Macaca mulatta: one gene and its partner. Each later gene encodes a partner of the first gene's protein in a complex. Links are inferred from orthologs where the notes say so. Each region holds a gene or a part of one and is shown on either strand. Other genes may lie near its edges. The genes, in order: PDS5B and WAPL.

What was found.
Region 2: the proteins of PDS5B (region 1) and WAPL are in contact, whole or in part, in a crystal structure (PDB 5HDT), measured with the Homo sapiens proteins. The link is inferred for Macaca mulatta from reciprocal best matches to the Homo sapiens genes PDS5B and WAPL. Residues at the interface, in NP_055847.1 of Homo sapiens: Gln47, Phe88, Ala92, Pro93, Ala95, Trp137, Val138, Lys139, Ser140, Asn142, Ile143, Phe145, Glu146, Glu187, Gly188, Asp189; in NP_055860.1 of Homo sapiens: Lys7, Thr8, Tyr9, Ser10, Arg11.

What each region holds. Positions count from the first base shown.
Region 1 is NC_133422.1:12,352,145-12,356,638, reverse strand, and holds the start of PDS5B (sister chromatid cohesion protein PDS5 homolog B), read right to left. Parts: upstream 3,031-4,494; 5' UTR 2,887-3,030; intron 2,410-2,886; exon of another isoform or gene 2,036-2,409; intron 1-2,035. UniProt on the Homo sapiens protein: Regulator of sister chromatid cohesion in mitosis which may stabilize cohesin complex association with chromatin. May couple sister chromatid cohesion during mitosis to DNA replication.
Region 2 is NC_133414.1:63,337,061-63,340,870, forward strand, and holds part of WAPL (wings apart-like protein homolog), read left to right. Parts: intron 1-802; coding exon 803-1,321; intron 1,322-3,810. UniProt on the Homo sapiens protein: Regulator of sister chromatid cohesion in mitosis which negatively regulates cohesin association with chromatin. Involved in both sister chromatid cohesion during interphase and sister-chromatid resolution during early stages of mitosis.

The DNA of each region.
Region 1 (4,494 bases):
CCTAAAGGGACTGAATCCTAAACAGAAATTATTAAAAACCAGACGCTGAAACAGATGGCTAACCACAAAACTTTATTCTTGGTTAAATGAATAAAAAGGTGAGAAGGGGATGGAAGGTAATGTGCTACCCTGAATTTTTATTAATAAATATTGCTAAATCCTGAATAGAACAAAAAAAAGACAATGGGGAAACTTCTCAGCTTCCAGGATATCTAAGAGCTGCCCCAATTCCACCACATGAATACGACTGTGACCTCAGATAAATCAATGAAATTAAAATCTGAACCGAATTTCTCATGTATAAGCGAGTTGGAGATCATCCTTAAGTTTTCTTGTTGCTCTCTAACACTAACGGAGGAAACATAAATAACTTTTCCAATATAAGTTATATACAGTCCATGTCATTCAAGAGTCCATAAGCCAAATCTTACTGAGCGCACTCCTGTTAGTTCTAAGGCAGTCTCTAAATTTCCCAAGAGGAATAAGCAGAAAGAATACAACTTCCCGAAATATTCCTTTCTCACAAAGTTTTGGGTATTTTCTACCATTGCATTCTTCTCCAGGGCAAGCCCTAACACAAAGTATTACTTTATCTTAGGCCTAACAAATTATTGATAAAGCCTACTCCTCAAAATGTTACTTTGTTAAACAAAGCTGCAGAACAATTTAAACAACTTTCATCAAACAGCCAACTCGGTAGAATCTTACTACAAGTAAGCTTAATACAAACATCTCACGACAAGAATCACTATCATCAGTACATGTGTCTCTAATACGGGGGTAAAAATGAGAGGGGAGAGACATAACACGAGAGAATAAAGGCGACAAGAGTAACAAAAGCTGCTGTAAAAGGTAATATAGGGAAAATCAGCCTTAACCAAAACAAGGAGAAAAGAAAAAAAGAAAAAGGGTGAACACAAACACTACCTTCCCATTTAAAATACACCTTTAAGTAAACGCCAGCTGAGAAGAGGACAATTTTTTAAACCATCAGAAAAAGGAGGAAAAAGTCACTATTTGGATAATTTTTATAAAGTCTAAAGTGCATCTTTTTACATATACTTGTAAACGTATATCAAGCACAAATCTTATTTCTAAGGAATAACGTTCTTAAAATGTTTTTAGTTTCTGACAATCAATCGATCTTAACATAAAAGGTCCCATGTAACTTTCACCTATTCACCACTACAAATTTTAATTCGGTTTTCTGCTATCACCATGAGATACAAGATTAACTGTTCCACGAACTGACCCACATACACCATTGAATACTCATTTCATTGTCCCTAAAGATGGGAACATCTCAGACATGTGTACTGCATAACGAGCTGTCTTTCAAGTCCATATTTGTGGCTTTTAACTAGTTTACCTGACCACTACATGAGTTAATATAAAAAACGTTCTGTCTGGGAACTCTGGATGGGTTAACTGAGAACAACGACTATATTGCCGTTCAAGTATTGGGTAATGACGATTTATTTACAGCTCGCCTCCTGCATGTAAACACAACGTGAGTTTTTGAAGTTTATTAGGAAGATGGTATAGGATTACCCAACTCTCTCCACACCGCAGACCAACCCTCTAAATTAAAGCTATATCCAAAGTTTCCGAAACTATTTCATCGACAGGGTAGGATCAGTCGGGGCACCACTGCCCATCCATCACCTCTTATTAAAAGTACAAGAAGCACTTTCTTCGACATAAAAAAGGGTTAACCCTTGCTGGGGTAGAGAGGCTGTTGAAGACGCGCGCGGAATGGGTGGGTAGCTGCTCTTTCAACCCTTCCCGGAGCTCGCCCCGTCCGCGGCAAGGAACGCAGCAGCCTGCAGTTCCGAAGGCGAGGGGCGGCGTTTCTGGTTTCAGTCATTCCTCCAAAATAACTGTCGAGCTACTTCTGAGTTAGCTTTCACGTCTCTACCAAAAACCAACAGCAGTAGCAGCAACAACAACAAACAAGGTTTTTCTCCGGACCGAAAACTTTTAAAGTAGCATTAAAATAACAGTGCAAAAACATTAACGAGTCACAATTGCACACCATTTTCCCCGCCGTTCCTTCCGAAAGGAAAGCTAGAACCCAGTTGTCGCCTGGGAGGAGTCCCTCCACGCCAGCGCTGGGCTCTTGCTCAACGGGGTCCTCAGGTTCCCCGAGCACCCACTCCGGGCGGCGCGGTGAGCGCGATTTCCCTCGGGCAAGCAGCGAGGAACAGCGCAAAAATGTCATGCTCAGCCCGTCCCCTGGCCCGAAGCGCAGGCCAGGCGGCGCGCGGGGACCCGGCGGCGAGGGCGAGGGCGAGGGCGAGGGCGCCCGCGGCCCCGACCCGCGGTCCCCGCCCGCCCCTCGCCCGGAAGGGGGAGAAGCCCGCCCGCGGGAGGATTCAACAGGAGCACCGCGCCGCCCGCCTGCCGCCCGGGAAACAGCCGCCGGCCGGCCGGGGCGCGGGGGGAGGGGCGCGGCGGCGGCGGTGGCGGCGGGAGGGCGCGGGCGGCCGGGCGGCCCCGGGACCCCAGCCCGCGCGCAAGGTCACCGCCCGCCGCCGCCGCCGCCCGGGCCGGGATCAGAGCGGCAAGTTTAATTTCCAGAGGCTGCGGCAGAGCCCGCGGCGTGGAGGCGCGAGTCGGCCGCGGGGCCCTCCCCACCCCCACCGCGCAGCCGGCCCGCGCCCCGCGACCCCCGCCCCGGGCCGCCGCCAGGCAGCCGCCCGCTGCAGCCCCCGATGCCGGGAGGCGAGTCGCGCCTGGCACCCGGGCGGGCGGCGCTTCAGCCCTGCCACACACACACACACACACACACACACACACACAGCAGCAGTGGCGGCCACCGAAAAATGGAGCGCCGCGGCCAGAGAAGAGAGACATTTTCTTTCCGTTAACTGAATTGTTTCCTACCTCCGGGTTTCCGACTCGCTACTCCTCTCACTCCGCGGCTCTCCGGGATCCGCCGCCGCCGCCGCATCCAATCGCCTTCTCTCCCCCCTCCCCTTCCGCAGCCAGCCCGGCCGTTCCTCCTCCTCTCCGCTTCAAAATGGCGCCAAGCGCTCTTCGGCGGCTGCTCCAATCGAACCGCCGCGGACAGCACCCGGGGGCAGGCAGAGCGCGGCATGGGTGCGCAGCGCCCCCTGCCGACCAGACGGCCCCGCGCGCGCCCGCCCTCCGAGCTCCGCCCCGCCCCGTCCGCGCGCGCGCACTCCCCTCCTCAGCCCCGCCCCGTCCGCGCGCACGCAGCCACACGGGCACGCCGCCGCGGAGGCCGCGAGACTGGCAGCTGTCAAGGCGTCCACTACCCTTGCAGCTTACTAGACCTCCACCGACAAAAATCATTCCGATTGTTACGTAGCCCTATCTTTTTAGATAAAGATTGGGAGATTTTTTTAAACACTGACATTCAGCACAGGTGTTGTGCTAGGTTAACATAATTGGTATTATTAACTACTTTGCTCCTTGTTAATTCTGACCTAGTCGTCTCGGAATGCCATACAAATAGTTTTCCTACACTTTATGTGTTGTGTCTTTATTAAATCTCCCCGCTTTCCTAATTTGATGAATTGTTCATAGGTGGTAAGCTGGCGGAGACACAGAGTAATTGAGCCTGTGACGAAGCATTCTATTCCTTTGGCAGAATTGTCCTTATTAGAGGAAGACATCATCTGGAGACCACAGGGACACATTCCAGGAGGTGGGTCTCCTCCCCTCTTCACCTTTCGGGGATGCCAGTCCCTCAAGTGGGTTTAGCCTGGTCACAACAGATCACCTACCTTTGGGGAAGCTTTTCCTCCCCTGCCAGAACTGAAGAAGGGACTTCCTCCTCTTTTTACTTTAATATCATCCCTCCTGTAAGGAAGTTTCCCCCGATATGATGTATTTGGTTACTAGAATTTTGTTCCAGGGAGAATTTGTTTCAACAATGAACAAGCAAAGGGTGAATGAATGGATTACAATAGGATACTTATCAACTGAAAGAAAAGATAGGTAATGCTGATCTGTAAACTAATGTTACTGTGCACCTAGAGATACTAGGTGCATTTTCCTCTGTCTGTCCTAATGGTAATTGCCTCATTCACCCTTACCATGTAGCTGTTTTGAAGGCTATCTCCTTTCTGCACCTAGAGATACTGAGACCTCTTCATTTCCATTTTTGTGGGATTTCCTGGACAATTCCGCTTCAGTCTCCTACAGTGCTTGCTAGACCAATATGTTGTGTTACTGTATTCCTATGTCCAAGATTTTGCCACTGAATACTCCAGGTTCTACCCATTTTACACATTCCTTGATGAAGTCCACTATGAGTTTTTTCTGCTCTCTTTTTAAAATTATCTCAGGAATTTTCTTATTTTACATTGTTGTTCCATCAGCATAAATCTTGTATGGAAGAAGAGAGTAGGATGTCTAGATCTAGAAAAACCTTTCCTCTTTGGTTGTTTTTATCTTTTTTACTTTATTTTCTTCAATTCCCAAACCTCCAAAGCCAGGAAGCAAGAAAGTTTCAGAAGAACGGCA
Region 2 (3,810 bases), on another chromosome or scaffold:
GTCACAGCCCGAATTACATTACACCAAGAAGCAGAATCTTCAGGATTGGGTTAAAAGCTGCAGGTTGTAAAACATGAGAAAAAGCACCATTTTGGGGACCTTTTTTCTCCTATGAATTAGTGCCATGAAATTTCAAAGAACTAAATTTAATCAAGTATTGGATATTTCTGAGGCCCTGAAAAAAATTAACATTCTGTGCTTAAGATTTTATATAGGTAATTACCCTATATAGATTATTATAACATCACTGCAACCTCCATCTCCTGAGTTCAAGCAGTTCTCCTGCCCCAGCCTCTCAAGTAGCTGGCATTACAAGCGTGTGCCACCACTCGCAGCTAATTTTTTTATTTTTAGTAGAGACAGGGTTTCACCATGGTGGCCAGGCTGGTCTCAAACTCCTGGCCTCAAGTGATTTGCCTGCCTCGACCTCCCAGCCTCTATACAGATTATTTTTTAAGGTAAAAATGATGTTTATAAGAATAGCAAGTTGATTCATTTGGAGCTTAATACGTTTCAAGTTAGCTTTGTGGATATCGTATTATAAGTTGGTTAATCATTAAGTTTTTTTACTTTGTAAGTAGCATAAGAATATGTACTCATTGTAGAGGAAAATTGACATGGAAGCATGTAGAGTAATAAATCAGCCTTTCTTTATACCCCTTCCTCATATTTGTTTGTTTAAAAGTCTGTGGTGATGTCAAAAGTCATGAGGGAATAATCCCTAGGTTTTTATTTTTATAGCACTGTTTAACACTTGTTGAGTATTTGATGATTATATGTTTTCTTAAATTTTTTTTCACAGAATATGAAACTGGTGTCAAAATGACATCCAGATTTGGGAAAACATACAGTAGGAAAGGTGGAAATGGCAGTTCAAAATTTGATGAAGTCTTTTCCAACAAACGGACCACCCTTAGCACAAAATGGGGAGAGACTACATTTATGGCTAAATTAGGGCAGAAGAGGCCCAATTTCAAACCAGATATCCAAGAAATTCCGAAGAAACCTAAAGTGGAAGAAGAAAGTACTGGAGATCCTTTTGGATTTGATAGTGATGATGAGTCTCTACCAGTTTCTTCAAAGAATTTAGCCCAGGGTAAGGGTTCCTCTTACTCAGAATCTAGTGAAGCTGCTCAGCTGGAAGAGGTCACTTCAGTACTTGAAGCTAATAGCAAAATTAGTCATGTGGTGGTTGAAGACACTGTTATATCTGATAAATGCTTCCCTTTGGAGGACACTTTGCTTGGGAAAGAAAAGAGCACAAACCGAATTGTAGAAGATGATGCAAGCATAAGTAGCTGTAACAAATTAATAACTTCAGGTAAGTTTTGATTTTCTTTATTCTCAGCCAAGAGGGCTTCATGCAAGCAACTTTTAAAAATGATTTAACTTCTAAAATACATACTGTGTTTTCTTTCTGCACTTAGGATAAATGGGGACTATTGATAGTTTTGTAAAAGACATTTAAGAACTTTAAAGAAACCAGTTGGAGGTTGAAATAATAAAACAACTTGGATATTAATGTTTATAGACTGTTGCTCAGGGTACATTTTGGGAACAGTCATACGTTTCTAACCCCGATTCCAATAAGAAATATCTCTTTTTGTTGTGTTAGGATCACGGAGTATCTCATTTCTATTACTGTGGAGGATTTGGATGGTTATTGTTAATGAAAATGAGATGAGTACTTAAAATGAGGATTAGTTAACAATGGTAGACTCTCTGCCAAAACTAGCTCAGAAAGATTAAGGAGGTATTGAGTGGAGACATTAAAGAATTGAACTTGATTCCAAATTGAGATTAGTTTGGGGCCAGTAGCAGCTTGTATTGATAGATTTATTTATTTTGAGACGGAGTCTTGCTCTGTCGCCCACGCTGGAGAGCGGTGGTGCCATCTCGGCTCACTGCGCGCTCTGCCTGCCAGGTTCATGCCTTTCTCCTGCCTCAGCCTCCCAGGTAGCTGGGACTACAGGGGCCCACCACCACGCCCGGCTAATTTTTGTATTTTTAGTGGAGACAGAGTTTCACTGTGTTAGCCAGGTTGGTCCCGATCTCCTGACCTTGTGATCCGCCTGCCTCGACCTCCCAAAGTGCTGGGATTACAGGCGTGAGCCACCGTGCCCCGCCGTATTGATAGATTTTAAACCACAAAACTGGTTGTATTTTAAAAATGTTAATTTGTAAATAGAGCATCTAGTACTCTCTCCTAAAACGATACATTTTGTTCTGTCTCCTGTAAGGGATTTGAGATTTATAATAAGTGAAAAAGGTACAATTAACTAAAAGACTGAAGAGCTAATATTGAGGGTGGCAGGGAAGAGGTGGGGTAGAGAAGTGGGAGCACTCTATCAGCATTAGGATAAGGGTGGCACTATACTGTAATTGAAAAGAAACCTTAGTTCTTGACATCTTGGCAAAGTTTAGCAATAATGAAAGGTTATAAAAATCTTCCTTTGAAAGGAAGTAAACACAAACACAAAACTTTGCTGTACTGAATTCTTTTTTTTTTTTTTTTTTTGAGACGGAGTCTTGCTCTGTCGCCCAGGCTGGAGCGCAGTGACCAGATCTCGGCTCACTGCAAGCTCCGCCTCCCGGGTTCCCGCCATTCTCCTGCCTCAGCCTCCCGAGTAGCTGGGACTACAGGCGCCCGCCACCTCGCCCGGCTAGTTTTTTGTATTTTTCAGTAGAGACGGGGTTTCACCGTGTTAGCCAGGATGGTCTCGATCTCCTGACCTCGTGATCCACCCGTCTCGGCCTCCCAAAGTGCTGGGATTACAGGCTTGAGCCACCGTGCCCGGCCTGTACTGAATTCTTAAGGGGAATTTGTCCTTTGAAGGTTAAGGCACATGAAACAGTACAATGTACTGGGCTTTGCATAGTTTTACTAAAAATGTTGAGCATTTTTTCACTCTTTCTCTCACTCTTGGATGAGACGATGAGCCAGCTGTTACTGTCATTCCTTTGATCCTCCGGGTTAATTCTAATTTGGCTGTCCTTACTGCTTTGCCCACATTTCTCCTCAGGCGTTGTTGGCAAGTTTAGGTTAAATTTCCATTAAAAAGACGGCATAAAGGGCCTGTGCAGTGGCTCATGCCTGTAATCCCAGGACTTTGGGAGGCCAAGGCGGGTATATCACCTGAGCTCAGGAGTTCAAGAGCAGCCTGGCCAACGTGGTGAAACCCCATCTATATTAAAAATACAAAAAATTAGCTGGGCGTGGTGGTGGGTGCCTCTAATTCCACCTAATAGGGAGGTTGAGGTGGGAGAATCACTTGAACCCAGGAGACAGAGGTTGCAGTGAGCCAAGATTGTGCCCCTGCACTCCAGCCTGGGCAACAAAGCAAGATGCCATCTCAAAAAAATAAATAAATAAATAGCATAAACAGCATGAAAACTGTTTTCAGGTCAGCTTCTAAAAATACATAAATGTATGTTAAAATCATCAAACTTTGACACAGAGTCTCACTGTGTTGCCCAGACTGGAGTACAATGGCGCCATCTTGCCTCACTGTAGCCTCTGCCTCCTGGGTTAAAGTGATTCTCCCACCTCAGCCTCCGCAGTAACTGGGATTATAGGCACCTGCCATCATGTCTCGATAATTTTTATATATATATATATATATTTTTTTTTTTTTTTTTTGAGACAGAGTCTTGCTCTGTCGCCCAGGCTGGGGTGCAGTGGCCGGATCTCAGCTCACTGCAAGCTCCGCCTCCCGGGTTTAGACCATTCTCCTGCCTCAGCCTCCCGAGTAGCTGGGACTACAGGCGCCCGCCACCTCGCCCGGCTAGTTTTTTGTATTTTTTAGTAGA